7 separate regions of the Mus musculus genome follow, and all the other regions are reported to be linked to region 1. The links are microRNA targets in miRTarBase. Many come from high-throughput screens and were not tested one by one. Region 1 holds a microRNA gene; each other region holds the end of a gene's coding sequence.

The links. The annotated mature microRNA mmu-miR-466i-5p reads UGUGUGUGUGUGUGUGUGUG and lies in region 1 at 1,857-1,876, shown strand. An mRNA with a match to its seed (bases 2 to 7 or 8) in the 3' UTR can be bound and repressed. Matches are read on the target gene's strand: a 7mer-m8 pairs with bases 2 to 8, a 7mer-A1 pairs with bases 2 to 7 and ends in A, and an 8mer does both.
Region 2: the mRNA of Zfp74 is a reported target of mmu-miR-466i-5p. Seed matches in the 3' UTR shown: 7mer-A1 at 2,384-2,390, 8mer at 2,382-2,389, 8mer at 2,380-2,387, 8mer at 2,378-2,385, 8mer at 2,376-2,383, 8mer at 2,374-2,381 and 11 more.
Region 3: miRTarBase lists Gm14137 as a target of mmu-miR-466i-5p. Seed matches in the 3' UTR shown: 8mer at 2,597-2,604, 8mer at 2,595-2,602, 7mer-A1 at 2,587-2,593, 8mer at 2,585-2,592, 8mer at 2,583-2,590, 8mer at 2,581-2,588 and 15 more.
Region 4: miRTarBase lists Hpca as a target of mmu-miR-466i-5p. Seed matches in the 3' UTR shown: 7mer-A1 at 2,959-2,965, 8mer at 2,957-2,964, 8mer at 2,955-2,962, 8mer at 2,953-2,960, 8mer at 2,951-2,958, 8mer at 2,949-2,956 and 15 more.
Region 5: miRTarBase lists Runx1t1 as a target of mmu-miR-466i-5p. Seed matches in the 3' UTR shown: 8mer at 1,372-1,379, 8mer at 1,374-1,381, 8mer at 1,376-1,383, 8mer at 1,378-1,385, 8mer at 1,380-1,387, 8mer at 1,382-1,389 and 13 more.
Region 6: miRTarBase lists Grk3 as a target of mmu-miR-466i-5p. Seed matches in the 3' UTR shown: 7mer-A1 at 2,060-2,066, 8mer at 2,058-2,065, 8mer at 2,056-2,063, 8mer at 2,054-2,061, 7mer-m8 at 2,053-2,059, 7mer-A1 at 1,233-1,239 and 2 more.
Region 7: miRTarBase lists Chrnb4 as a target of mmu-miR-466i-5p. Seed matches in the 3' UTR shown: 7mer-A1 at 2,817-2,823, 8mer at 2,815-2,822, 8mer at 2,813-2,820, 8mer at 2,811-2,818, 8mer at 2,809-2,816, 8mer at 2,807-2,814 and 14 more.

The regions. Positions count from the first base shown.
Region 1 is chr3:28,418,088-28,422,152 of GRCm38, forward strand. It overlaps Mir466q (microRNA 466q), which reads left to right and starts at 1,856; the gene lies at 1,856-1,931. The region is part of intron 2 of Tnik (TRAF2 and NCK interacting kinase); the gene reads left to right.
Region 2 is chr7:29,930,840-29,934,904 of GRCm38, forward strand. It overlaps Zfp74 (zinc finger protein 74), which reads right to left. Exons shown (of 6, transcript NM_178384.4): 6 at 1,952-4,065. The coding sequence ends at 3,403. Among named protein-coding and RNA genes, the nearest start is that of C230062I16Rik, 19 kb to the right of the region's middle.
Region 3 is chr2:119,174,831-119,178,895 of GRCm38, reverse strand. It overlaps Gm14137 (predicted gene 14137), which reads right to left. Exons shown (of 1, transcript NM_001039223.4): 1 at 1,328-4,065. The coding sequence starts at 3,916. The coding sequence ends at 3,389. The region is part of intron 10 of Dnajc17 (DnaJ heat shock protein family (Hsp40) member C17); the gene reads left to right. Among named protein-coding and RNA genes, the nearest start is that of Gm14137, 2.4 kb to the right of the region's middle.
Region 4 is chr4:129,108,812-129,112,876 of GRCm38, forward strand. Hpca (hippocalcin) reads right to left here. Exons shown (of 4, transcript NM_010471.4): 3 at 3,864-3,969; 4 at 2,759-3,714. The coding sequence ends at 3,617. Tmem54 (transmembrane protein 54) reads left to right here. Exons shown (of 6, transcript NM_025452.4): 3 at 1,564-1,623; 4 at 1,719-1,907; 5 at 2,002-2,136; 6 at 2,512-2,815. The coding sequence ends at 2,577. Among named protein-coding and RNA genes, the nearest start is that of Tmem54, 5.3 kb to the left of the region's middle.
Region 5 is chr4:13,889,259-13,893,323 of GRCm38, forward strand. Runx1t1 (RUNX1 translocation partner 1) reads left to right here. Exons shown (of 11, transcript NM_009822.3): 11 at 354-4,065. The coding sequence ends at 629. Among named protein-coding and RNA genes, the nearest start is that of Gm11823, 100 kb to the right of the region's middle.
Region 6 is chr5:112,911,393-112,915,457 of GRCm38, forward strand. Grk3 (G protein-coupled receptor kinase 3) reads right to left here. Exons shown (of 21, transcript NM_177078.4): 21 at 1-3,682. The coding sequence ends at 3,521. Among named protein-coding and RNA genes, the nearest start is that of Myo18b, 17 kb to the left of the region's middle.
Region 7 is chr9:55,026,490-55,030,554 of GRCm38, forward strand. It overlaps Chrnb4 (cholinergic receptor, nicotinic, beta polypeptide 4), which reads right to left. Exons shown (of 6, transcript NM_148944.4): 6 at 1,667-3,756. The coding sequence ends at 3,616. It overlaps Chrna3 (cholinergic receptor, nicotinic, alpha polypeptide 3), which reads right to left and starts at 73. Exons shown (of 6, transcript NM_145129.3): 1 at 1-73.

The sequences.
Region 1 (4,065 bases):
CCTCTTTTTGAGATTATAATATAATTACATCATTATCCCCTTCCTCCCTCCAAACCCTCCCACAATGCCTTGTGCTCTTTCAAACTCATCGCCTCTTTTATCATTATTTATTGTTACACACATACACACATATTAGGAATGTATGTATGTATGTAGGTAGGTAGGTATATCTCTAAAAACATAAATACAACCTATTCAGTTAGAAACTATATCCATAACATCTAAACATGAGCTGAACAAGGGCAACACTAGACATGCTGAAGTAGGCAGTGGAAAGCCCTCCATCCTACACAAAGACCTACAAAATGCGGAGAACAGGAGAAATTGCTTATCCAATACCAAATGGACAGCCCTGGAAATATACATACAAGGGACATTATACACAGCTTGGCTTTTGCATATCAGAATGGTGTACAGGGGAGCTGGTCTCGAGACAAAGCAATGTTAACTGTAGATTCTGCTCTCTAATTTCTTTTAAGAGTGTATCATTTGTCACAGTGCTCTGCCAACTGCTAACTGCAGTATCGTTTGTTCTGTTGGTCCACTAAGAATGCCTGTTGAAAACACACAAGTGCTGCAAAACAGCGCCAGAAGAAGCCTTCACAACTCTGATTTCTGGGTCAACTGGTATTGGAACATGCTTCCTCGGGTGAGGGTTCTTAAGAAAAAAGATTGCTGGAAAGCGGGCACCAGAGTAGACAGAGACAGGCATGGGATGGGCTCCAGCTTCAGTTTTCTCTTTCAGTCTTGAACAAAGTACCGACCTCTTCTGAGCATCAGTATCTTCATCGAGAAGCCATGGGCAGCATGCATGCTTCTCATCTGATTAGAGAGTTGAGATGGAGATACATAGGGTGCTCCTGTGTGCAGCAGGACTCACTCATGACCTCGTTTCCTCTTCCCTTGTTTTTTACGAAGTCTGCAGAGAAGTGCCAGTGCCCAGATTAGTCAGTGAACGATGATAATGGCATGCTAATATTTATCCAGTGAAGCACTTTGCACAGAACTATTTGTATCATGTTTGTATAATTAGAGGAAACGCTTCTCATCATACATTATGATGTGAACTTTCCTTCCTAGGCTCCCGGTAATTAGATTTGGGTGAGGAAAAATTCCCCGAGTTGTAAAAATATACAAAAACTTTTCTCGAGTTTGCTTTGTGTTTTATATTTGTGACTAGAGTTTGCCATTTCTCTTTTTATTAGGTGCTCACCACAAGTATGTTAATGAGTGGAAGTAGTGGGTGAAAACTGGCGTTTGAGAGCCATGTTAGGTTTAAGCTGACATGAAATTCATATTTGGAGAAACAGAGTAGGATCCGAAGTGACTAGGTAGTATAAATGCTTCAGAAAGCCTCGGTATATTCCTTGAAGAAAATAGACAATTGGATACTTTTTGCTCTGGGCTGTGAAAACCCTTCTGAAGAATGTGGCATCTGGATTCTACTCAGCTGAGTCCACATGGGTATACTACTAGTAGACTTTACTACTATCTGGGGGGTAAGGTGGGGTTTGCAATAGGTGCAAATAAAACTTTATTGAAGTATTAAATGTATATATCACAAGAGAGTGCTTAACAGTGGGGTGGAGCAAAAAAAAAAGAGCTGAGAAATTTTCATGCAGAAAACTGAAGGAATTTAGTGAAATTCTTTATTTTTAACTCCTTCCCATGCTTGAAACAGGGGTCTCTAGTCTAGCCTGGTCTTGAACTCAGTCCTCCTGTCTTAACATCCTGGGTGTTGAGATTACAGGCAGTCACTACCATATTTATCTAAAGTCTACCTTAGGAAGACCCCTCTACTCCTGAAACAGTTTTAAAAATCTCCTTTATATTCTTATTACCTTCTCTTTAGTGTGTGTGTGTGTGTGTGTGTGTGTGTGTGTATGTGTGTGTAGTATATGTGCACACACACACATACGTACCCATGCATGCCATATCTCATCTCTGGAGATAATAGGACAACTCGTAGGAGTCAATTTTCTCCTTTACCCAGTAGTGCCCAGAGACTGATCTCAGGTTGTCAGGCTTGGCAGCAAGCACCCTTACCCTCTGAGCTGCCTTATAGGTGTGCTTTATATTCTTAATACTACTGAAGAGTGCAAGAACCGTATGTTTGGATGGATTGTCTACCAGCATTTATTATAGTGCCAATAAATGTGATTTCATTAAATACAATAAGGACTTTTTAAAGCACAATATTACTAATGCATAACACAATGTCCATTAGCCGCAGTGATGACATCATCTTGTGGCATGCAGCCTCTGGGAAACTCCACTGTACAACTGTGGGGCAAGAGCGAAAATAGCATTTGATGTCATTGTATTAATATATAAAAAGGGCTCCAGAGACTCAGAGGACCTCGGGCATCTCTGAGGACAATTGTAGTGGCTTGTAGTCACTAGAGAGGTCACGCTGATCTGTCCTTCCGTAACCCATCACTCCATTCCAGGATGAATGACATTATTCACAGGGTTAGAAATGAAGAAGGCAGAATTTCACAAGTGGCTCGTGGCCGAGATTTGGTACTGCAGGAGCACAAGAAGAACTACAACAACAGAAGCATTTCATTTGCCATCACTGTGTATCTTTGCATAAGTATTTTTTGCACAAGTTAGGTTAGATCTACATCAAATGAAAAGAGTGGATGTATTTTAGTCAAACTGTGTTAGGAACTTCTGGCCTATAATAGCAGCCAAACATGGGATGTGTGTGCAACCTCCAAACTGGGAAACACTTAAGAGGTGTTTCCTTGAGCTCCTGGCTTGCTTGGCTAGGGCAAATATGACGAGGAGCCTACCAGGTGCTCTGCTCAGAGCTGCAATGGGGAAAACCCCATCCAAACGACAGCAGAGCACACTCAGCTAGTAACAGCTAGCTCTCATTAGCCCCTCACCCGATACAATTAACAGAAAAGAATGAAAGACAGAATAAGCTTAGGAAACAGGTAAAGGGTGGTTTAAGTATGGTCTTAATTCTTTTGAGACAACCATCCCTCCTCTCTCTCTCTCTCTCTCCTCTCCCTTTTTTCCCTTTAATGTGATGTATTTATTTTTATTTCATGTGTATGGCTGTTTTACCTGCATACATGTCTGTGCATCATTTGTGTGCTAGGTGACTGTGGGTGGGAGTCAGTCTCAGTCTATCTAGATTTACAGATGGGCTGAGCTATCATACTGGTGCTAGGAACCAGATTAGTGTCTTCTGTAGGAACAGTGTGTGCTTTTAATTCTGAGCCATCCTGCTAGCCCCACAAGTGCCCCCTTTAAAGCAAACATCTGAGAGTGGCCACAGATCCTTTGAATATTTTCCCTAAATTCACACTGGAGGAGCCACCTTAAAACACAAAGTCTCCTGCCAAGTCTCTCCTCTGGATTGGCCCTGCTGGATTGGTCTAGTCAGTTCCCATCACCATTGGCTAAGACATCTGGCCACTAGGACGCAGAGCACACAAACATTGTCTTTGCAAAAGCTCAGTCAGCGTTGCTGGGACGCACCTTCACCCTGACCACCAGGAGCTTATTTCCCCCATTGATTTGTCTTTCCAGTTTCCTGTGGCTTTAGATCTTTTCTTTTACTCTTTAATGAAAATCCACACGAATGAGACCTTTTGCTTCTAAAATGCTAAGTTGTTGTTATTGTTTTTTGGGGGGTTGCGTGGGGGGATTTTCATTGTTTAGAATTTGTCCTGATGCTCAAGAGATTCACTGTTGGTCACCCAAATGAAAGGCTGTCGCTTCGGTGGTCTAGAACTCGTTTTTTTGTTTTACTTGCCTCTCACACTTGCAGATCTGTGATCTTGAAGCCAGAGAAAGAATTCCACACAGATTCCCAAACATAACATTCTTTCTGACAGGCAAATAATTCCTCAGGTTTTCAGCTGTTGCTGTCTGCCTTGTGTGGCTTTTGCTTTCTGATGTGGTCGAGCTATGCCTTTATGGTATGGAGAAAGGATGGCAGCTGAATAGTGTGTGCTATGTAGCCAGTCATTATGTTAACGATGCGTGCTTTAGCTAACTGTGCTCCCTCTGCTGGGAATCTACTATTTGTTAGTGTCATCTTGGGTC
Region 2 (4,065 bases), not on the chromosome of region 1:
CGTACATTTAATATGTAACATGTAACATCTAAGTTACATGTAGCATACATATATGGATGAGTGTCCTATTGGAGAATCCTGACTGATACTCTGGGAACAAGAATGGCCTAGAGAGGGGCTAGAGAGATGACTCAGCGGGTAAGAGCACTGACTGCTCTTCCAAAGGTCATGAGTTCAAATCTCAGCAACCACATGGTGGCTCACAACCATCTTTAATAAGATCTGACGCCCTCTTCTGGTGTGTCTGAAGAGACAGCTATAGTGTATTTAGATATAATAATAAATAAATCTTTAAAAAAAAAAAAAAAAAGAATGGCCAGGAGAACAGCATTTGAAAGCTTTCTTAAGTCTCTGGTGTGGTGTACTTTAAAGGCACTATGACCATTTCCAGTGACACAGAGGACATGGGGAGCCCATGGAATGATGTGTCAGAGGACATGCAAGTAGCACCATTGGAATTCCTAATTAAGGCTGTTCTGACTTGTTCTAAGGCAAGATTCTGGGTAACCATGTATCTAACATCTTAGCCCGTTTTACTCAAGCCTGTGAGTAGAATATCGTGAGAAAGACTGATAAAGTGCTGGACAAAGCAGGGAAGAAAGCATGACCTCAGGGCTTCAGGTTGCTGGCTCAGCACAGTGCTGATGTCACGGGCATTTCTGTGTCTGCTTTGAAAAACGAATAGCTGCAGAGCTGAAGTATATGAAAACCGAAGCCAGAGTCTTAATCCTGCAGTGCCTGAATTACAGTGCAGGTTTGAATACCCAGCCTTCTTCCTATAGGACCCATGCAAAACTCATGCCAACAGCTAGAAGCGAGCTTTTTACCTGTACCTGGCCTTCACCTGGCACAGAAATCGCCAAGACACGCCTTTCTGTTTAAAAATCCAGAAACTGGTATTATGGCAGCACATGCCTGCAAACCCAGCACTCAGAAGGTTAGAGGCCATGAGTCTGAGCCCAGCCTGGTCTACAGAGGTGTTTCAACACAATCCACAAAACCATCACCACCCCCACCACCCCCACACACAATAATTTAAAAAGAAAACAAGGAATCGAGCTAGACACTCAAAAAGCTCTGCTGAGATCCACCAGCGCTCTGGTGCTCACGCTGGCCCCTGGCTTGAGAGACCGTGTGCACAGTTCCTTTTCTTCTTTCTCTTCGACTGCAGCCCAAACGCAACGGGACCTTACATTTTAAATTGAGAGTCAATTATTCCAACAAGTATTGCCTTTTGTTTTTCTACTACTTTCAACTGGGAAAGGAGCTATGTTGAAGATAAATGCTTCAATTTTTTTTTTTTGAACTAGCCTCAAATGGTTTATGCTGTTGGTTGGCATTATCCCGATAAAGGTTCTGACGAGTGAGACAGACAGCTTTCTGGTACTATGACAAGAATGTCTACAAAAAAAAAAAAAAAATCAACTGAAGTGAGGAAGAAACTTCTTACTTTGAAGGCACGCTCGGGTGGCCTGCGTGGGCATCCCCTCCCCCAGCTCCCACCTTTTGGTATCCGCTAGGAATCCGTAAGTAGATTCAGCTTTGACGAGGTCAGAACCCTCGTGACCAGATCAGTTCTGAACATTGTTGTTTTGGGGACCTTCTTTGGGGGAAACATCCCAGATCCAACCATAACTGAGTAAAAACAAAACATCTTAAAATCAGGCTTGTGTAAAGAGGATTAAATATAAAATAACACGTGCTAAAAATGGATTCTAATAGCCCATGATTTCGACACCCATATTTGACTTACTCTAGTAAAAACAGGCAACTAAATACAGGACCTTTAAAGCGTCAGATCTAATTTGATGAGCAGACTGGTTAGCACTGTAATATCTGCTTTTATTCTCTTACTGAAGTATTACAGGTCAATGTAACAACTTCTAGAAAAGCTTCCTAAAGCTTCAAAGGCGACTAATATCATAAATGGACCACGAGCAATATCCACTACTGTTCTTTGAACTGTTTTATTAACTTACAAATATTATACCATGGTTAATTGAATATTTTGGGGTTTCCTCTCAAAATATCATGATCCAGCCATGTAACTACATGTGAATTTTGTATCTTTTAAATAAAGAATAGTGTCCTATCATAGAAATAAACATATTGATCCACCTCTGCATTAATGATAATGTTACATATCACTTAGAGCAAACCAAGCCACAAATCTGGGAACATTTATAGATAGATCTTTGCAGACATACATGGATACTTCTGAGTCCAGTACACTAAAAGAAAATAGACTATTCCATGTTTGCAGGGTTTATTATTTTTTTTAATATTCTTACGCTAAAGCAACATGTTTCACTTTATTTCCAGCATTTTAGAATTTTACCTTTCCTATTTTGAGTGTGTGTGTGTGTGTGTGTGTGTGTGTGTGTGTGTGTACATGCATACCATGGCGTGCCATTGGAGGTCAGAGGACAAGTGTAGAAGTTGGTTCTTTCCACCCACCATGTGGATTCTGGGTATCGTAGTCAGCTGTGAAGCTTGGCAGCAAACCCCTATCAGTGGGGCCGTCTCACCAGCCTGAGGGAATCTGTATATCTTTGTTTAAGAAGTAACAAGTTTGGTCACATAACCTGTACACATATTGAACAGGCTAGACTTATTCCAATGATTTCAGTAGCACCAGGCAGATAGAAAATTGCCAAGTCTTGGGTTTCAATTTGTTTCCAAAAGTTTATTCACTCAAAAGAGTTTAAATAAGAAAAACTTTAAATAATTATAATCTAGTAGAGAGTGAACATCTTCCCTAGTTGTTTTGTTAAAAACTGTTTTTTGTTGTTGTTTTGTTTTTTGCTGTATTTTTTGTTTTTGCTATTTGTGGTCCTTTCCCTTGCCGTATTACTCTGAAATCAGTTCATGAAATCCTTTATAACTGATGTGTAAATTTTGAGTGGAAGTATGGACAAGGGAGAGACTGGGAAGGGTTCGTGAACTTTTATAACTTTCTAACTTGCTTTATCAAGTGGTCTTTTGCATTCGTCAGCACGTTTTGTAACTTCGTACGCATGTCACCTAATTACCTTAGACTTTCTTCCCGACACATACATTATCATTCAAAACCTACTTCCCCATAGTCTCATATTGCCTATAAAAGTTATTGTTTTTGGTTTTTCCAATCTCCTTCTCTTGCTTAATACATCAGCAAGGAGCTCGAGTTCGTTGATTGACAGTAGATATTTTCTTTCAGACTTGAAAGAGAATACTGATATCACTGGGTGTTTGGTGACAGTTTCTCATACAATTGGTCCCCGAAGTGGGAATTGTCTAACAGATGCATGGGACCTTCCCAAGGCTCTCCTACAGTCAGCGCCAGAACTGATTGTGTCGCGTGCTATGAGGTGTTCACTTCAATGGGAGGCAGTCCTCACATTCACCGTGGTCACGGCGTCTCTAGTGAGTGTGGATTCTCTGGTGTCTGACAAGGTGTGACTTTTGGCTGAAAGCTTTTCCACACTCAATACAGACATAGGGCTTCTCGCCTGTGTGTTTCCTCATGTGAAGCGTAAGAGAAGAGATCTGAGAGAAGGCTTTCCCACAGTTGCTGCAGTCGAAGGGCTTCTCGCCCGTGTGACCCCGGATGTGGATAGTGAGGGAGGAACTCTGGGAGAAAGCTTTCCCACACTTGTTACATTCATAGGGCTTCTCGCCGGTATGGCCTCTCATATGCACGATGAGGGACGTTCTTTGAGAGAAGGCTTTTCCGCACTCGTTACACACGTACGGCTTCTCCCCTGTGTGGCTTCTCATGTGTAAGTTGAGTAGTGAGCACTGGGAGAAGGCCTTCCCACACTTCTCACACTCGTAAGGCTTTTCTCCCGTGTGACTTCGCAGATGAAGCGTGAGGGAAGCGATCTGGGAAAAGGCTTTCCCACATTTATTACAATCGTAAGGTTTCTCTCCCGTATGAACTTTCTGATGGGTGATGAAGTTTTGCTTCTGGCTGAAGGCTTTCCCACACTCATTACACTCGTAGGGTTTCTCTCCAGAGTGAATTTTTTCATGAGCAATGAGATTTGACTTCTGGCTGAAGGCTTTGCCACACTCCTTACATAG
Region 3 (4,065 bases), not on the chromosome of region 1:
AGCAGCTGGAGCAATGGTTTTCCCAGAACTGTTTTCCAGCTTTGTCTCCAACTTCCCACTCACAAACTGACTCTAGGAAATAACATCAAGTCCCATGTTGAACCTGGGGTGCTGTATCTGGAACCCCACTTGTGAAGTGCTAGCTTTCTAGCGACAGTGGGCCTGGGGCAGCCTCGCAGTCCCTAGAACACCATGACTTGTTCATTCCGCCCTCCTTGGTCCAGTTTTTTAGCCTGACTGCAGAGGTTAGAGCATGGATGCCTTTCGCTCCTGTTGGAGGGACGGTTGCTTTGGGGGCAGGAGCTTTCCCCTTCTCTGAAACCGCCTGCGTACCTGTCCACGTGTCCACAGCTTCTCAGAGAGTTATCAGGATGCCTGCCTGAGAGATTGGAGCCTTTGGGGGAGTGTGTCAGTCTTGGCTACTTTTCTATTGCTGTGACAGTTTGGTCACCAGGACCAAGGCAACTTAGAAAGCCTTTAATTAGGGGGGTTATGGTTCCAAGAGGTTGTAGAGTCCATGACCATTACTGTAGGGAGCATGGCAGCAGGCAGGTAGGCAGGACACTAGAATAGTGGCTGAGAGCTTACATGCTGAAATAACCACAGGGCAAGGAGAGAGCTAACTGAAACTTCAGAGCCTGACCTCAGTGACATGCCTCCTCTCACAAGGCTCCACCTGCTAATTCTTCCCAAACAGTTCCACCAACTGGGGACCAGGCATTCAAACATCTGAGTCTATGGTGGCCATTGTCATTCAGTGTCCCAGGTCCTGATGGAGGAGGAACATGAATGATGTAGAGGTCAGCCCAGGATCCTGTAGCTGCCTTTGCTACTCTGTGGGTTCTTTCTTCCATCCTTCCCCAGCCTTTTCTCCCACCCTTTCAACCCTCTAACAGTAGATGGAGAAAAAGAGGGAAGAGAGGAAAGGAAAGAGATCCCTGACTAGGGGCCCCAAGAGACTTCATCAGTCAGGATAGCACATTTCTTTTCCTTAATGTTTGTTCTTTGCGCAAGACTACTTAACCACCGTGCCTCTCGGGGCCCAGAATATATACTATATATTCTCTAAAAAGGCCCCAGAATTCCAAGTGTGACACAGTTGCAGAAACCATCTGCAGCTGGCACAACCACGCCCCTGCTAGAGACAAGCTGCATAGTCAGCTGTGGACAGCCCCATGCCACACGGGGGTTAAAGTGAAAGCATAGTCAGATTTCTGTGCTTTTTAAAAAGAAACCAAGGTTCTCACTACAAGATCCTAGCTTAAAAGAAGCCTCATTCCCCACTAGAAAGTTTCAGCATTTCACATCCAAGACCATACTCTGTAGGTCATATTAGAAAAACCTTTATTGGTTGCCTCCTGTTTCCAGAGGAGGCTTGAAGCTGAGTACCTCTGCACAGGAACAGGAAAGAGAGATGTCACAGATGTGGATTTATCAGGCAGTGTGTGTCACAGCTTCCTTTACCCTTCTTTCACACTTGAGTGACCTGGAGGCCAGACCCACATGGTCCAGTGCTTCTGGGCTCTGGATTCAGATCTGACCCAGCCACAGGGCAGGGAGTAGCACAGTTTGTAGCCTTGCCCTGTCTTGGGCCTGGTGGAGGATCCTGGAGCCTCTTGGTGGTGCATTGTCCTTTCTGATCTGGTTATCCCTGTACTGTTCCTGCAGCCTTTCCCAGAGGTTCCACATACAATGCCTGTGGAAGTTCCCAGAGCACTCCTTTGCAGCTGCTGGTTCCAGGAGCTTCTTCCTAGAGTACTTGCTTACAGATCTGTGGGAAGCTTGAGTCTCATGCTGTGTTTGCTAATGATGTTAGGCCTTTCCCCTGCATTTTCCTCTGTCTACCTCTCCTGCTGTCAGCCCCTCCTGCACCTGCAGCCCAGAGCTGGCAACTTTCCTTCCTTGCCCAAGCTTCTGATGGTTACATACTGTGTCTGGCCAGCGCCATCCAGTGGACTTTGGTCTAACAGTGTCGGTGTTTATGCTCTGTCATCCAGTACAGTAGCCGTCAGTCAGATGTGGCTGTTGATTTAAAATGTGCCTAAGTGGGCTGGGGAGATGGCTCAGCAATTAAGAACACATACTGCTCTTCTAGAGGCCCTGAGTTCAATTCCTAGCACCCACATCAGGTGGCTCACAACTGCCTGTAACTCTAGCTCCAGGGGCATCCAACACCTTTGCCCTCTGCATGTACCTGTATATACTTGTTTGTGTGCACACACACACACAATTAAGAATAATTTTTGAAAACATCTTTAAAATGTGGCTAGAGGGCTGGCATGTGGCTCATTTAGGTAGAGTACTTGCTTAGCATACATGAAACCCTGGATTTGATCCCCAGTGTCTCATAAAAAAAAACCTGGGTTTGATCACACACACACATGAGTAATCCCAGGCTCCGGAGGTGGAGGTGGGAGGATAAGAAGTTCAAGGCCACCCTCACTACATATGAGACCTCATCTCAAAAACAAACAAATAAAAATTTGCTAGGATGAAAAATAACTGAAATTTTCTTTGTGTTTGTGTCTGGATGGTGTGTCTGTGTGTCTGTGAGTCTGTGTGTGTGTGTGTGTGTGTGTGTGTGTGTGTGTGTCTGTGTGTGTGAAGTGGAGGTCACAGGTTGATTTCAGATGTCTTTCTCAATTGTTCTCGGTGTTTTATTTTCTGAGGCAGGCTCTCTTGCTGGGCCTGGACTGTGCCGATTTGGCAACCTAACCAGGCAGCTGCCCCTGGGATCCCTAGCTTCTCCAACCTGAGCACCAGCATTCCAGATGGGCTAGCATCCCTGCCTGCCTTTTATACTCGGGTACTGGAGGTCTAATCTCAGGCCCTCCTGCTTGCATAGCAAGCACTGTATCCACTGAGCCATTCCTCAGCCTCTGGAGCTGACTTCTCAGTTTGCTTTTCCTTCATTAAACAGTCCTGCGCCGTAAGTGGTGACTTGTCTAGTCCTGCCTCTCTGACCTCCCCACTTCCCTTTCATCTCAGTTAGACTATGTCTTCCTAGACTGGCCTGTGACTTTCTGTTTCTGTGACGTGGTCTTTAGAGGCTGCTCTGCCCAGGCTGAGTCCTATTTCCTGGCTCGCCCCTGTGCCTGCCTGTCTCTCCACTGACCTCTGACTGGTTCCGTGGTTGCAGGTTGGAGTTTCCTTTTCCTGGTCTCTCCAGCTTCCTTCAGGACTCCTGCCAGAAAGTGACTCCCATACATTCCCAGCTGGCTTTTGCCCCTTCACTTTGGGCGACTTGAAGGATTGGTCAGCAGCCAGAGGGCAGGGAGAACTGTGGCTTCTGGTCCCCACCTGTTCTTTAGTCCACATTGTACCTTCCTCGCCTGGGTCCACAGGCGCCATTCCTCCAGTCACCCCAGTTCTCGCTACTCTCACCAGGTCAGAAGTGGGGCTCGCTTGGGAATTGCTCCTTTAGAATCTGCAGAACTTCTTCCAGAAGTGAAAGCCCCAGGTCCACTTTGAAGGAGAGGAAAGGGTCACTGAGGTCCGGAGTAGGTGTCCTCGGGAAGTGGGGAGTGTCCGAAAGGGCCTCCTCTGAGCACTGGTGAAGCGGCCCTGTCAGGGAGATTGCTGAAGGCAGGGTGGCCGAGTAGCCAGCTGTGTAGCTTGCTGGGGGCTCCAGAATGTTGGGGCAGCTGGAGCTCTCTCGGTAGAGGCGTGGGGGCTTGGGTGGGGCCAGTAGGGTGGCTCGGGGATGCTCATCCCCCCACAAGGGCAGACGCCGGCCGTCTGGCCTCCCTTGCAGTTCTCGGATGACTTCCCGGTTGCTGTACTCCTCATGGTCACCACCAGCAGTGCTGGCCTGGCTAAGTATGCTGCCCTGTCGATGCAGTCTCCGTGGCCGCCCCAGGGTGATTCGCTTGAAAAAGGAGGCATTGCGGAAGGAGCCTTTCCGCCAGGTCTCCATGGAGCTCCTGAGAGTCATCTAGTGGGTCTGGCATCTGAGAAGCCCCACAAAGGGGCTCAGCAGCAGCAGGTGACCTTTTTGCTAGGGTGCTGAATGCCAGACACCAGAGGGACACCCTTCAAGGGCCAACAGCAGAGGTTGTGCGTTTC
Region 4 (4,065 bases), not on the chromosome of region 1:
AGGCATGCCAGGGTGGCATTCCATGTACAGGCTGTGTGGCAGGTGCAGATGTGTGGAGCTGGGAACGGCTGAGATCTGTGCTGAAGACACTGACTCAAACAGTCAGACAGGAGTTTAGCACTAGGGCAGACTACATGAGCCACTTGATATAAGCCGTAGTCATTGTGATACTGGGACATCTTTGTTTGATGAATGAATAAATGAAAGAGTCTGGTGTACTTAGGTGTACAAAAGCTCTTCTCTGCCGGTCAGCTAAGGTGGTTGTAGACTTGTTCATCTCTGGGAGACCTGCTGACTCCTGACAGAGGGACTTTTCTCTCTCTGAGCTGGTCTCTGCCTCTGACAGCCTGGTGGCCTCCAGGCCTGGTGAACCAGGCTCTGATCTGTGGAAGTTCCAACGGCAGGAAGAATGCAGGGCTATGTGCCAATCAGTATCTGTTTTGCTCAACAGCCATTTGAGGAGGGCATGGAAGGTGGCCAGCCCAGGGTCAGAGGGCTCTGGGGCTGGAACACTTCACCTTTCCCCAGTAAAACACTCCCAGCTGCCCATGACTGGGGGAATCACTCCACTCCCTTGGATGTGGTTATCTTCCTGTGAGCGCATCCTACAGAGAGGGGCTCAGCCCTGAGAAGTTGAGGTAATTTCTTGTGGCTGCAGAGTAAATTAACACTACCACTATACCCCCAGTGGTACTGTGTCCACTACAGAGATCGACACTAGGAAGGCGGATAGGCTAAATGGAGCCCTAGGGATCTAGAGGTCAGCCACTGAGCTGAATAGTGTGCAGGAAATCCTGTCTCTGGGGATGTAGGGGCATTAGGACTGAGGAGCAGGGCGCCTTGGAAAGGATAATCTGCGAGTGTGCATGAGGTCCAGTGAAATGAGGGAAGACAGTGGTCCAGGACAGACCAGAGAAGGCCAGGATTAGGTCGTTAAGAGCCTGGGATAATTTGATGCTCTTAGAGGTCTCTTTGTTTTTTGTGGTACTTAGGATTGAACCCCGGCTTCACACATGCCAGGCAACTATTCTACTCCCAAGCCCCATCCTTGGCCACCTCTTAAAGATTCTGAATTCTGCTTATGATGTGTCCTGTCTGTCTAAGATGGGGCCTCACTACATAGTCCTGGCTGGAAAAGAACCTTTTATGTAAACCAGGCTGGCTTTAAACTTGCAGCAATCCACCTGCCTCAGTGCTGGGAGTGTAGGCATTTGCCACCATGCCTGGTTTCTGATTTATATCATTTTGGTTTTAGTACCTTGTTAGTAGAATGCATTTCTTCCAGTCTTTTCCATCCTAAGGAGATATGCTGTGGGTCCTGGGGCCTAGCACACTCCCGGGCTTATGCCCGAAAACTTAGGACACACAGGACCCTGTCGGACTCAACAGCTTTAGGCAGTGCGGAGCCCTGGAAGGCCGTAGGGAGTGGGAGTTTATGAGGCCAAAGCCAGAGGCCAGGGTGGGAGTGGAGACTGCAGAACCGTGGAAGACGTTGGGGGGATGTGACCCCACGAGCTGCCCTCCAGCACCGGCTGATCCCAGCTGATTCCAGCCTCCCCACAGGTCATTGTTGCAGGAATTTCGACCATCGTCTTGTCACGCTACCTCCCCAGCACCCCCTTGGTATGTGGCATTTCCTCTGATGGGACTGTGGGCTGGGCCAGCAGCCCTCTTGGGGCCAAGAGTGATATCCACTGACCAGTGCTCTTTCTGCCTAGCGCTGGACCGTGTTTAGCTTGAGTGTGGCCTGTGCTCTTCTCTCTCTGACCTGTGCCCTTGGACTCCTGGCCTCCATTGCAGTGACCTTCGCCACCAAGGGTAGAGCACTATTGGCGGCCTGTACTTTTGAGAACCCTGAACTCCCAACACTGGCACCTGACTGTCCTTTTGACCCTACTCGAATTTATGTGAGTGCCTCGTCCTGGAAAGGGTTGGGAAGGACTCTTGGGTCTACCTGTACCCCTTTCCCTAATTAGATGCTTTTGCCCCTGGACCCCTCAGAGCTCTAGCCTGTGCCTCTGGGCCATCTCTCTCATATTCTGTCTGGCGGAGAGTATGTCTGCCGTGCGCTGCGCCCAGCTCATGCATGGACTACTGGAACTAAGGCCCTGGTGGGGGAAGAGCTGCCACCACACGGTAAGTCACCACCCCCACCCCCCATAGTCCTGGGAGGCCCCTGGATGGTCAGCCTCACCCCTTCTGAACAGGGCCTCACATAACTGGAGCAAAAGTTTTCTCAGCACTACCAAAGGGCTCCAAAGTCCAGAGAGGCCGGATGTGCCAGCTAAGTCACACAGCTGATGTCTGGCTCTCCTAATCTTGAGGAGAAGCACTGGTCTTTGGGGATTATACAGGAGACAGTTGGGGGAGGAGTGGGTTCTGGCCTGTCATGAATGACTGATAGTGCTGTCCTCCCCTGTGCCCCAGAAGCCCTTCCTTCTTCCAATTTGAGGGTGTCCTGAAGATAGAGACCCCAGGCAGAGGGAAACAACCAAGTTCCTGTGTCTGCAGATACAAGCAAGCCCAGAGCCCCTGGATGCTCATGACCTATTGAGCTGCGCCAGTTCTTGCAGCTGACCCTCTGACACTTCAGCAGCGCCATGGCTACTGAGGCACGTGACCACACCTGTATTGACCCGTGCCCAACCAGCCATGGAAGTTTAGTGGGATCCAGGATTCCTAGAGCACGCCCATGAAAAGTCAATGGACTACTGGGGACGTGGGAGAGGGCTTTGAGCGCCCTCCCCTGGCCACCGAGTACAATGCACTGAAACAAGACTTTATTTTGAAGTTATTAAAAAGAACCAAGATGCTCCGTGTGGCTGCATGCAGAGGGACATGGGGCTTGGCCGGGGGCCTGCGCTTCCTTCCCACACAGAATGCTGTGGAGGGGCTCTGCCCATCTGTCTGTGGGCCTCTGTGTGTGTGTGTGTGTGTGTGTGTGTGTGTGTGTGTGTGTGTGTGTTTGCGTGAGTGCACGAGAGAGAGAGGTGAAATACAGAGTACAGACGGGGTAAATCTGTGGTTATCTAAGTGCAAAGAGGCAGGTTGAGTTTGGGGACCCCCAGTTGGAATCCTGGGAGTTTTGTTTTGTTTTACCATGGCCTCCAGCCAGCAAGAGCTGGGACAAGAAGTGTTCTTCTGCAGGGAAGTAGATCAGGGAACTTCTTCAAAGCCCCACAGCCCAGAAATCATCCGTGGCTCCCCACCAAACAAAAAGACTCTTCACCTTGGCATGACTCCCCACCTCCCTCCAGGCTGAGGACCACCCAAAGGGGACCTACCCGCCCCCCTGCCCCCGTGTTGTGGAAGATCCTCCTGACTGTGGGTGGGTGTAAGATGATCCAGCTGTCTCACTAAAGAATACAGAACCTGACCGGAGGGCTATCTCGGTCCCACTAAGGGAGATTCTGCCTCTTGGGCCGTGGAGACTAACAGCTGTCTTGCTTAGCCCCTTCCTTGCAGGTTTCACTTCTCCAGAGGCCCACACACACACACAGTGCAGACCCCAGAAAGGGATCCCCAGTCTGGCCCCCAGCCTGGATAGACACGAGGGAGAGGAAGCTGAGAGCCGGAGGGCCGGTGAAGGCAGGGAGGCGAGCTGGCTCCTCTCAGCTCAGAACTGGGAGGCGCTGCTGGGATCACACTGCAGCAGGCGCACGATGGATGGGTCGCTTTTGGCTCCGCGGATGAACTCCTCCAGCGACAGCTTGCCTGCAGGGCAAAGGGAGGGCTGTAAATGAGGAGAAGGTGGCTGCGAAGCCAGGCAGGTGGCTCAGGAGAGGGAAGGAGGAAGGCTGCCCACCCTCCTCCACCCCTATCACTCCCCCCCAATCTCCCCCCCCCCCCCCCCCGCCACTCACCGTCATTGTTTGTGTCCATTTGGCGGAAGATTTTCTCAGTCCTCTTTTCCGGGGTCGACTCATCCTCGGGCATTTTCATCACGGACGAAACCATCTTGTAAATGGCCTGTGGGATGGAGGATCGGGAGGGGGAGAGGACATCAGGGAGTAAAGGAGGGCTGGGTTAAGCTCCCATCCTGCGCGCTGTCTCTTATAAACATCC
Region 5 (4,065 bases), not on the chromosome of region 1:
CAGCCAAAGACCTTGGTAGGAACCAGGTAGCCCACCCAGGGCAGGGCAGCGCTTTATGTCCCAGCATCGTCTCATCAGGGTGGCTTGCCTGAGCTATGACCCTTTGGAGAGGAACACAGCAACGTCTCACACTCCTGTATTGCGGGATGGGGGCGTTGACAGGGAGAAGGGCAGCAGGTTGGAGAGGTAGGGAGAGGGTGGGGCTGTGGTGCGACTGGAAGTTCAGCCAGGGTCTTCTGAATCGTCCATTTTGTCTCTGTAGCTCTTGGAGATGTGGGAGCAGTGATGCCTTCCCTGTTTACTAGATGTTTACCTTCATGAATATTCACCTGGGATCTCTCCTTCTCCTTCAGAGTTGCTGGAACTGTGGCCGGAAAGCAAGTGAGACGTGCAGCGGCTGTAACACGGCCCGATACTGTGGCTCTTTTTGCCAGCATAAAGACTGGGAGAAGCATCACCACATCTGTGGACAGACCCTGCAGGCCCCACAGCAGGGAGACACGCCCGCTGTCAGCTCCTCAGTCACACCCAGCAGTGGGGCTGGGAGCCCAATGGACACACCACCAGCAGCCACTCCGAGGTCTACCACCCCGGGAACCCCCTCTACCATAGAGACGACGCCTCGCTAGACCTAAACTCAGACTGTCAGAGGAAAGACACCACAACCAACACGAAAGCAATTCCTCATCCTCAGATGCTCAAAGTCCCTTTTCTGTTTGTTTGTTTATAGATGAACTATCTATCTTATTTCAGTACTTCGGCAAGAGAGAACCTAACTGTATCTTTGAGGCGATAGTAGAACACAGAGGCCAGTAACGGGTCGTAATGACTTACTGTGGATAACAAAGATATCTTTTCTTTAGAGAACTGAAAAGAGAGGAAAGAATATAACGTGAAATGCTAGATTTGACCTCCTCCCTGTTATTTCCAAGTAGCTGGGATTTTAAACTAGATGACCTCATTAACCAGTGCTTTACCAAACAGCAAACCAAGAGATTGCTAATTGCTGTTGAAAGCAAAAATGCTAATATTAAAAGTCACAGTGTTCTTTATATACAATAATGGAAAAAAAAAAAAGAGGCAATTCCTCAAGGGCATGAGCGGTGGATACAGAAGTAGACATTTTAACAAGAAGATGAATGGCGTCTGTGGGTTGCTAACTGAACTTTGAAGACCCGCTGCAAAACGCGCAGATGTGCAGCAGATTGGAAGGAGACACAGATGGTCCTTTTTTTCCTGTTTCTGAAAAAGAAATAATAATATCCAGGTCAACAGAATGAAAAATGAAAGATGATTTCCAGTGCGGTGTATGACTACAGCAGCAAGAAAAAAAAATGCCATAATACAAAGGCTCCTTTTTATATATATAGTCACACACACACACACACACACACACACACACACACACACACACTTAAGAGACTCAGCCTGCAGTTAATTAGCATTCTGGCAGCTTCCAAGTCAGCCAGCTGCCCTAAATAACCCTTCAACATTTCTTCACTTTTGCAAGGTTCCACAGACTAAGACATTGGGTCTATTCCAGCTCATTCATTTTATATTGAAAACTAATTTAAAAAAAAATGGTGGCTTCAGCTCCAGCCCCTTTCCAAAATTTTTCAACCCCACCCTGTTTGGATTTTTAATTAAAATCTAGTAGTTCTCTTGGTATTAAAACACTTCTGTCCTGTGAGGTTTTCCCAATGGTGTTTTTCTTGTAAATGTGTTGGACAAATGTGAAGATGCGTTGTAGTTTACCCATATGCCCACATTTAGTCTCTTTATTCCTAGTTGGTGAGAAACCTGTATCTTTCTATGCTGCTTTTATATCTGTATGTATTAGTGATATTTCTCTAGTAGTTAAAAAAAAAAAAAAAGAAAAAAAAAACTTTTTTGGTTGTCCTCAAGAAAAGAAAAGAAGAAAAGAAAAGAAAAGAAAAAGCTATCTTTTGGAGCTGCTAACTCACTCTCTTATAGGATTTTTTTTCCTGGAAACCAGCATGCTTCATGGAATGCTAGCACATGGATGTTTTAAGAGGGATGTACATAAATGTATTTTGCACTGTCACAATGACTCCCTAGGCATGCTTTCTTTTTTTCAAACCAACTTTTTAAATATGCTAGAGCCATTTCACCAATTTTAGCTGTAGCATAGAGTAGTAGTGGAATTTTTCTTTCTTTTATCCTTTTTTTATGAAAAGAAATTATTAGGGACTTTTTTAAAAAAAATAAAATAAGATATCCTACTTTAAAAAAAAAAAGGACAGTGCATGCATATTGCTGTAAGGTTGTTTAAGTATTTCTAATTTTACAAAAAAAAAATGAAAAAAATCATTAGAGCTCCAAATGCTGAGGTGTAGACGAACAGCTTTAACCCTGCTGAGTGCCAGGTAATACAGTGTTCTTACAAAAGGGAAATCAGCCAAAGACTGATCTGAGGGACCAAAATCGGAACTTTGAAAAGCACCAGTGGTACTTTCCAAATGATCAGCAGGTTGAACATGTTCAGTGTGAATCCATTAACCCTTCGTTGTCCAGGGTCCAGACCAGAACTACTGGTTAGTTTTGAAACACATTAGCCCAGGATGTGGTTGTGTGCTTTAAGAGTCGGCAGTGCTGCAGGCTGTGTAGACAACCAAAGTTGACAAGGCTGGGAAGACACTTCTCCACATACCCATACACCAGGCATTTCTTTACAAATTGAGTACAATCCATTAGCTTGCGGGAGGGGGAGGGGAGCGGGTAATGTAGCCCTTGGATACAGTTTTAAGTGGTTGTATTTAAGTTATCTGCATAGAGGCAATCCTCCTGGGTTTGCTTTATGTCTCGAAAATCTAAGATTTTTCTTAAACCATTTCCCCCATATTTTCATATACCAGTCGGTTTTGATTTTGTTCCGGTGGTGTTGTGTTCTTTCTTTCTTTTTTTTTTTTTTTTTTTTTTCTTTTTTCTTTTCAATGGCCTTTTAATTTAGGAAGTTCTGATGAGCAAATAAATGCATCTATATCTATCTGCATGTTGGAAGTCCATCTGCCAGCACACCTGCTAAAGGCAACGAGAAGCACATAAGCAGGCTCTGAATGGGTTCTATCTTACCATGGTGCTCCCAGAATCCTTTGACCTCATTCTGCTTTCTAGTCTGCTTGTGACACTGGACAGTCCTTTCTTAGAGCTATTCTATGTTCTAGGCTACGAAGGGTTAAATAATCCCAAAAATGAGGTATGTCATACCCTCACGTCTCGATCTCAAGAAGCTGTGATGTACGTGGAACAGCACTGTTATTCTGAACACTAGTGTGTAAAGTAAGGATTAGTACAGTCCGTCTCATTACTTTTTAATTCAGGGCACCCTGAGTGAAAACCAATACAAAAAAAAAAAAAATCCCTAACTCTGAGCTCTATCTCTAATTCCTCTTCCTCCTTCCCCTCTTCCTCCTCCTCTTCCTCTCCTCCTGTTTTGCTACATTCTCCTCAGTGGCAAAAAGTTTCACTCTACCTCTGACAGCATGTATATTGCACCAGTAGCTAACAAAAACTGGTCTAGTCAAACCAAATGGGCACAAAAGAACCAGGATACCAAAAGTCATACAGCTGCAAACCATATCACTTCTTGGTAACAATGCAGACCTCATAAACCTAAAAAAGAGAAAGAAAAGAAAACTTTTGTTACTTTCCTTTTTTGCTTGTCACTTATATACAGGCTATGTGAGAGTATTGATTTGTAGGTATTACACATTAAAAAAAAAGTTATCTTCATTGGATAGAATTGAATGGTGGTCGCTGATAGGAATAGGGCGTCCTCTATCTCTTATCTCTGTCTCTTTTCTCTTTCTCTTTCTCTGTCATGAGACTGTGTGTGACAGGGCCACCTGTCTTTTTTATTTTTATTTTTCTGAACTTTTTTTTTTTTAATGTGTAGGTGCATGTCTTGGGGATTTAAAAATTTCAAGGCTGGTTTACTTATGCAAAGCATGCCTATGTCTGGAATACTTAGGGAAAGAAAGCGACTCCATGTTGTCCGAATTCCTCAAGGGACAGAAAAAAAAAAATTGGAGACTGTTGAAATGC
Region 6 (4,065 bases), not on the chromosome of region 1:
CCCATAGCAACAAATAAAGGAAAAGAGGCCTTGAACCAACCAATGAAGTTAAAGCAAGAGGTCCTATTAACATGAATGTGAGCAATTGAGACTTTCGAGTAAACCTCACTTAGGAAGAGAAACGATTTTTTTTTTTAAATTTAAATTATGGAAGTTCCAAGTAGAAGTGGAATCAAACATGTAGGAAGGCGGTGATGCCATTCTGAGGTTCACCACATCTAAGTTGGACACGCACCCCTCCACAGCCCATTCATGGACAGTGACTAGGTCACAGCCTCACACTGCCTGGGCGACACAGCCACAGTCTCAGGTGACAGACTCAGTGTCCGGGGATGTACCACTGATGAGGGACCTTCCTGGGAATGTCCATAGAAGAACACGTGGCGGCACCTTCATGACGGGGCAACTCGGCCTCAGGAACGAAGCAAGTCTTGCAAAAATCCTTGGGGGATTCTGAGGGCGTGTCCCTTGAGCTCCCCTCATTCCCTCCTTGGTGGGTCATCATGCCAAGTGTGTGGCTTCCATCAGCCAACCAAGCCTTCTCCCTCTGTCCTTACCCTACCACTGAAACGGTGAGTTCCTGTACCGAGTTGCTCTGCCTCTCTGTCACACTGACCACTGGTGAACAATCCTGGCTAGTGGGGCCTCAGAACAGCTGCTTCTCACAGACACATAGCCAAGGTCAAGGCGGCCACTAGAGATAAATCTTATTAGTTGGCTAACAGTCTGCTGCCCGCTGTCCACACCCTCTGGGAATTAAACCCAGAATCTTGGAGATGTAAGGCAAGACCTTGGCCCAGAGCTACTGCCATAGCCCTTGGTGTTCTGGAGGCAGAGACTTGCCATGTAGGCCAGGCTAGCCTCAAACTCATAAGCCTCCTGCCTCTGCCAATCAAGGCTGGGCTTGTGAACCTGCAGTGTCTTTCCCCTGTAGGTCACCATCCATCCTTCATTGCTGGTTTTACATGGACAGTTTGTAATGTCAGCCAATGGGCCTTTCAATGTGCACACTTGAGTATCAGTAGCAAGACAGGTTCCTCTGTCAACCACTACAGTGTGACAATTTCCACAGGCTTTGTTTAAAAACAAAAACAAAAAACAAAAACAAAAACAAAAAACCCACACATTTAATTATGACCCAGAGGAAAAGCAGGGAGCCCTAAGGACAAGAGGGTAGTTTAGATTAAAATAAATAATAAACAAACTGGGGCTTGCCAAAGGTTTTAATTTGGTGTGTGTCACATAGTGGCTCTAAAATTATCTGATATTCTTGGACTTTGTGCATTGATTCTTGCCTTATGAAACCACGCCTATGTAGAGTATAGCTGTGTAAAAACAGCAATAAGTGGAACATCCTCCATCATGATAAGTGATCCAGGCCAGAAACCCAGGTCACTAGTACTCATGACTCGCCCTGTTAACAGTCTGAGTACAAGAGGCATCTAGGGACTTGCCTGCATGATGGGAACTCTCAAACAGCCATGTATCATAAACCCATCTGGCTCCTCCTCCCACCCTATGGATCCAGGACACACCCTAGCCACATGCCAGGGTGGAAAGATGGCCTTTGAGATGGCGCTAGCAGATCCACCACCAGCCCATATATGAATCTTTAGGACTATGCCAGAGGCCATCTGCACTCTCTCTCATTCCTGTCCCCGAGGGAAATGGGGTTGAGGGCAGGAGACCCCACCATACACACACCCACACACACTTCTTTTTCTAAAAGGAAAGGGGCCTTAAAATTAACTTGGCCAATAATAACACATGATATTTGTGCCAGTCTGGCGTGATTTAGTGCAGGTGCAGGATCCCATGATCCTGTGCCATCTTGAAAGACTTTGGTATAGCTATAACCCCGATAAGAGACTGTTACAGCTAGCCCAGCACCTGCTGGGGTCAAGTTCCCTCCCAATGTGGAAGGGGTGGGGGGAGGTCTCTATATGTGCTAAAGAGACCAGAGATACAGCTCCTACCCCTCCCTGCAGGTCTGACTGAGCATGTGTGAGCTGTCCATACTAACCATGCCTACACAGTAACCACAACGCTTAAGTGTGTGTGTGTGTAGTAGTAGTAGTAGTAGTAGTAGTAGTAGTAGTAGTAGTAGTAGTAGTAGAAGTAGAAGAATCTGAATATTAGTCTTTTAAGCAAGCAGGGTGTCCCTGCCAGGTGACGCCACATTCCCACCCTGGAGGCAGTGAACAGCGGCCCTGTGCGTGATCATGAACCCAGAATTCATGTGCGGTGAGACAGGCCCTGAGTCTCACAGGTCCCTCATGCACCTGCCGAGTAATGGACCCTCTCAGTAAATTATCTTCCAAATTCTCAAAAGGTAGTTGCAATTAAAAAAAAAACCCCATAGATATCAATAAATAAACACCTCATTTTCCCCAGCACAAGAACATAATACACACTGGGGACTGTCAGGAAGATCCAGGACAGAACACAAAGAATTCTGCTGTCAGGTTATGTGCTCGGGACTTCATCTAGAGACCCAGTAACACTACCATACTGCCCCCGCCCCCAAGGCCTCAGGAATTGGACAAGTCCACCGAGACCTTGCAGGACTTCTCATTGTGTGACATGGGGCCAGGCAGCAGCAGAGAAACCCACTTTTAAGGGGAAGGGGGCTGGGCAAACTGCTGCCCCCATCAGAATAACTCAGCGCACAGTGCATTAGTGACAGAGGGTATGGGGCATGCCAGGGCGCATAGGGGACCGACCGCTGGACACTGTCACCCACCAGTGTGAGATCATTATAAGCTATACTGAAAGACAAGGCAGCAACTCTTGTCTATCTTGGGCACATCCTCAGATGCTCCCCAGGTCAAACTGGGGGATCAGGAGGACTCTGTCATACCTAACCATTGATGGTGACTCCAAGTTTATGCACGCCATGCATTGGGGGCACTGTCTGGTGGGTTACCTAGGTCCTGCTTGAAGTCTGTGCCCACCAGAAATGGCTGTGATGGATGCCGCGAAGTTTCCTCGAGGGGCATCCCTGGAAAGAAGTCATCAGAGGAAGGAAGTGCACACGATACTCAGGGTTACCTCATCGCCTCAGGGACAGCAAGGAGTCAGCCCTGACCTACAGAGACCCTCCTCCAGTGTCTGGAGCCTCAACCCCTACACCTCAGGCAGGCACTCGGACACAGCAATGCCTAGAACAGGCCACCATAGTCCCAGAGACCGTGCTTCCACCCCAGATATGCTCCCTGCCAGACATAAAAGCTTGAGAAGTAAGGACCATTTTACGTTCTGGGTCCCTGGATACCAAAGTGAGAGAGTTGCACAGCAGAATGCCTCTGCTTCTTCAGTAATTTCGAGTGTGGATAGGACAGCCCCGAGGATGTCCCAGCTCCCAGAAGGCCGCCCTGGTGTCCTGAGCCTCCTCGGCTTGGAGCAGCCCCGTCAGTGCTCAGAAACACTGTGTCTTAGCCCCACACGGTTCCCCGTGGCTTCGTTCCACTCCTGGGCTGAAGAGCTGGGGCCCCTCCTTCAGGCCCCGCTGCTCTGTGGTTCAGAGGCCGCTGCTATTTCTGTGACACAGTGGTGGCTTGGAGAACTCCAGGATGGCGGCCCGTGGTTTGTTGAGGAATTTGGGGGCACGGCGCAGCAGTCTCTGGGCCTCATTGAAGGTGCAGGTCAGCTCCTTCAGCCACTGTGCAAACTCGGGGTCACTCTGCATGGAGATGTAGGAGAGAATTGGAGTGTGTCTACTCACCTGCCAACAGTATCTACAAATGGAGCCTGACACTGGACACATGCTACCTGCACTGAATGAAGCCTGACCCCTACCTTCGAGTCCCTGGGAACCTGGTGAGACAAGGAAAGCCAGCTGTGGGCTCTTCCTGTGAGCTTCCTGCACACAGTATCTACTGCCTTAATCTAGTTGGGGATTTTTCTCTGGGTCCTAAAACCACAGCCTATAGAATAAAAGTTGGGGGAGGGGATCTGATACTTTAAAATGACTGATCACAAGTCTAAGATAGTTTACAGTTACTTAAGGAGGGTCTAAGGGAGTTTACAGTTACTTAAGGAGGGTGTCAGCCCAGGGGAAGCTGA
Region 7 (4,065 bases), not on the chromosome of region 1:
GCTTCGCGCCGCCGAGCTCCCGCGCACTTGCGCGCCCGAGTGCACGAACCCCAGGCAGGCAAGCGCTGCTAGCAGCCGCAGGGCGGGGAGGCTGGGAGGCCAAGGCAGGAGCTGCGTCCGTCGTGGGAGGGGCGTCGGGCCACGGTCTTCTGCGTCGATGCCTCGATGCCTCGCCCAGAGCCTCCCTGGACTCTTGAAACCTCTAGGCTACAGACCAGTCGGGATCAGGCATTGTCACCATGGCAGGAAGAAAGGGTCAAATTTCTGGCCCTGGCTTTCTGGCAGGTACAGCTCTGAGGAGGGCTGGGGGCCTATCACATGTGCCAGCTCTAGTGTAACTCAAAAGTGGACCGTGGAAGTTTATGCTCTTAAAGTAACTATTTTCAGCACGATGCTGTGTGTGTGTGTGTGTGTGTGTGTGTGTGTGTGTACACAGCATACAGTTAAGAGGGACTCGATGGCTTGGGATGGAAACAATATTGGCAAGGAGTTCCCCATGGTGGACGCAAGGGTGATGATATCTGGGAGGTTTTATATTATTTTCGCTACTTTCTTTAGACTATGCTAGAGATGCTCCTTGAGAAAACAGACAAATGCTGATGGTTATAGCTCAGCAGTAGAGTGCTTGTCTAGCACACCTAAGGTCCAGGCTGCGATTCCCAGCAGAGTAAATAAATACTTTTATAAGTAAAGTTGGAATAACTAGAGGATCTGGCTTCCCATAGTGACCGTCATAGATTTCCTTTTGTGGCGGTTATAGATTTCCCTTGGTCTCACTGCCAGCTGCAAACCCATGTGTCCCAGGAATCGACGGTGACAAGGTAGGTGTTCTGGGGTCTCTTGACCTCTCTGGCCATCCACCAGGGATGGCTTAGCCCATGAAGGCTTCCTTGATGGTTCTTGGGGACCTTGTAAGGGTGATGGAGCAGTACTAAGCTGGATCATGGTGATGAACATACTAAAATTCATGGTATTGTCCAGTGCACAATGAGTGAATTTATACTTCAATAAAAGTGATCATTTTAAAAAGAGTTTTGTTTATTGTGTGTGGGGGGGGGCGTGCACACACATGGAAGCCTGAGAGGAAGTATGTGTACATGCACACACATAGAAGCCCTAGGACAGCTTTGTGAAGTTGATTCTCTCTTAGAGTCTTTATAAGGATTCTAGGGATGAGATTCGGGCCTCCAGGCTTGAGAGGCAAGTGCCTTCGCTCACTGAGTCATCTTGCTGACCCAATGAAGTTGTTTTTAAAGACCCAGCATATGGGCTGGTGAGATGGCTCAGTGGGTAAGAGCACCCGACTGCTCTTCCAAAGGTCCGGAGTTCAAATCCCAGCAACCACACAGTGGCTCACAACCATCTGTAACGAGATCTGACTCCATCTTCTGGAGTGTCTGAAGACAGCTACAATGTACTTACATATAATAAATAAATCTTTAAAAAAAAAAGACCCAGCATAAAGAAGCCAGTATCTACAGTATCTAATGGTTACACCCTGAAGGATTCCGTTTAAGCAGCAGGCTTGAAGATACTGAGCTACAGCAGTGAAGAAAAGGTAAGGGTGGCCAGGGCTAAGTGTGCAGGGGTTGGGTCTATGCAGAGTAGCCAAGTTTGAGTGACATCTTTCTTTTGTCCTAGTGTCAATGATGGTTATACAAATGTTAAACTTTAAAGAAGTCAACTTTATTGTAGGTTAATTCTAAAAACAAAACACTTTAAAATATTCTCCCTCAGGGGCTGGAGACTCAGCAGTCAAGAAGAGCATTGGCTGTTCTTCCAGAAGACTCAGGTTTGATTCCCACCACATACGTGGTGGCTCAAGTCTGTAACTCCAGTTCCAGGGGATCTAGTGCCCTTTCCTGGCCTCTGGGGGGGGGGGTACTAGCATGTACGTGGTACACACACATACATGAAGGCAAAACATCCATACACATAAAATAATAAATTTTTAAAATCTTCCCCTTGTAGGCATGAAATAATACCCTGTGTAAAGATTACCTTTATATTATTCAAACGCTGATTTCTGTGCCCCCACATTTGATTGTAATTCTTATTCTGAGAATTTCCAGTCTCAATGTTATGTAAACATTGCTCCCCAATTATTCCCTGATTGGTCAATGGCTAAGCAGGGGAGAGACTAGGTCTGGACTTCCTCCCATCCAGGGAAGGGGGCAGGAGGAGAGTGGGGATTCTCTTTGGGTAGAGAGTCCAGGAGATGCCATAAGAAAACACCTGGAGCCCAGAGAGCCAGATCAGTACTAAAATGCAAGTATCACTGGGGTTTTGACTGGGAGGTAGCCAGATCAGTTTAGAGGATTAAAATAGATAATGCTGCTCGTTGTTGTGCCTTTAAAGCTTCTTAAATAAATACAATAGTCCAGTCAAAATTATTTGGGAGCTAGCTGGGTAAAAGGAAAACAGCAACATTTTTTTTGTATTGTTTTGTTTGTTTGTTTGTTTTTATGAGACAGGGTTTCTCTGTGTAGCCCTGGCTGTCCTGGAACTCACTCTGTAGACCAGGCTGGCCTCGAACTCAGAGATCCGCCTACCTCTGCCTCCCAAGTGCTGGGACTAAAGGCGTGAACCACCACACCTGGCTCAACATTTATTTTTTTAAAAAAGCCACTAACACTCCTTAATTCCAGAAGTATCTTGAGTGCCAACAGTGGGGCAGGCACCGTGAGAGAAACAGATCAGTGTGAGAAAGAGACAGGCCTGAACCAACCATGGTGTAAAGGCAGAAAGCAGGAAGGGAGCAAGGACAGCTACTCAGAGGGTGTGTGTGTGTGTGTGTGTGTGTGTGTGTGTGTGTGTGTGTGTTTGAAGGAGAGCAGGAGCCATTCATTCAACAAACATTTATTTTGCACCTTCTGTGTGCAGAGCTCTGTCCCAGGCTCTGGAGTGTGAATGTGAATTCACACACTCCGACCCTTGTTGAGCATAGACTTTAATGGGCAAGGTGCTGGTGACTAGTGTGCCACCAACTAAGGACTGCAGCTGCCAATGGAGGACACTCAAGAAAGCTGGAGGTTTAATGTGGTTATGGGAGACGCTGCTTTGGAATGCATGGCTAGGGAAGGCTTGTACAGGAAGTGACATATTGGAACAGAGGATCATGGGAGTAGATCTCTGCCTAGTGCAGACATGTAAAAAGCTTGGGAATTGAGAGTCTGAGGTTTGGGCGGTAGCTACAGCAGATTTGAAGGTTCTAACCTGGAAGAATCTGGAAGTGTGAGAGGAAATGAAAGACGGCCAGGGAATCTAGTGGGTAGCCTGGATTGGAGGGAGATGGATGGGAAGGTGGGCTGGGGTGTGATGGGATGATACACAGCTGTCTGACTCCAGTGCCTGGCACATGGAAGGAAGGAGGCCAGAATGGACTTCAGCCACCTAATCCCCCTCCTTCAAGGGACTTACTCGAAGATATTCAGAGCGATCAGTGCAAGCCACCTATCTCTGTCCTTCTCGTGGCTAGATTGATAGGCTGACTGCCAATAGTCTTAGCTTTACTTAGGGTCTCATTAGCTACAACCCAGATGAAGCAGTAAACTGCCCACTAGGCTGCTCATATCATCCCACTACAACCCAGGGCCCCATAACACGCTGGGTAGCCTAGAGGCCCTTGGAGGGTGCGTGGATCTGGAAGAGGGGTGGCAGGAAGAGCCCCATGGTGCCCAGAATACACACAATCACGAACACCCACAGGAACAGGCGGTCGACGACCATTGCGACGAATTTCCAGTCCTCGATGACCTGCAGACAAACAGAGGCTGGTTACAGGTGCCAAGCACAGGGTAGCTCCTCCCTCTGAGTCACAGCCTCACAGCTGAGCACCATCACACAGGCAGCACGGGGCAGAACTAGGCATTGCTGTGGCAGGTTCTGAATCCCAGGCTGACCTCTGCCGGGCTCCTCATGATGTTCTCCAACCTCACCGGACCTGACTGGGCTTGGGGGAGGGAGTAGCAAAGCCATGGGGACTTGGGCTATACAGACGTCCCTCAGTCTCCTCTGGATCCCCTAGGACCTCTCAACCCTGATGCTGCTCAAAAGCCCACAGAA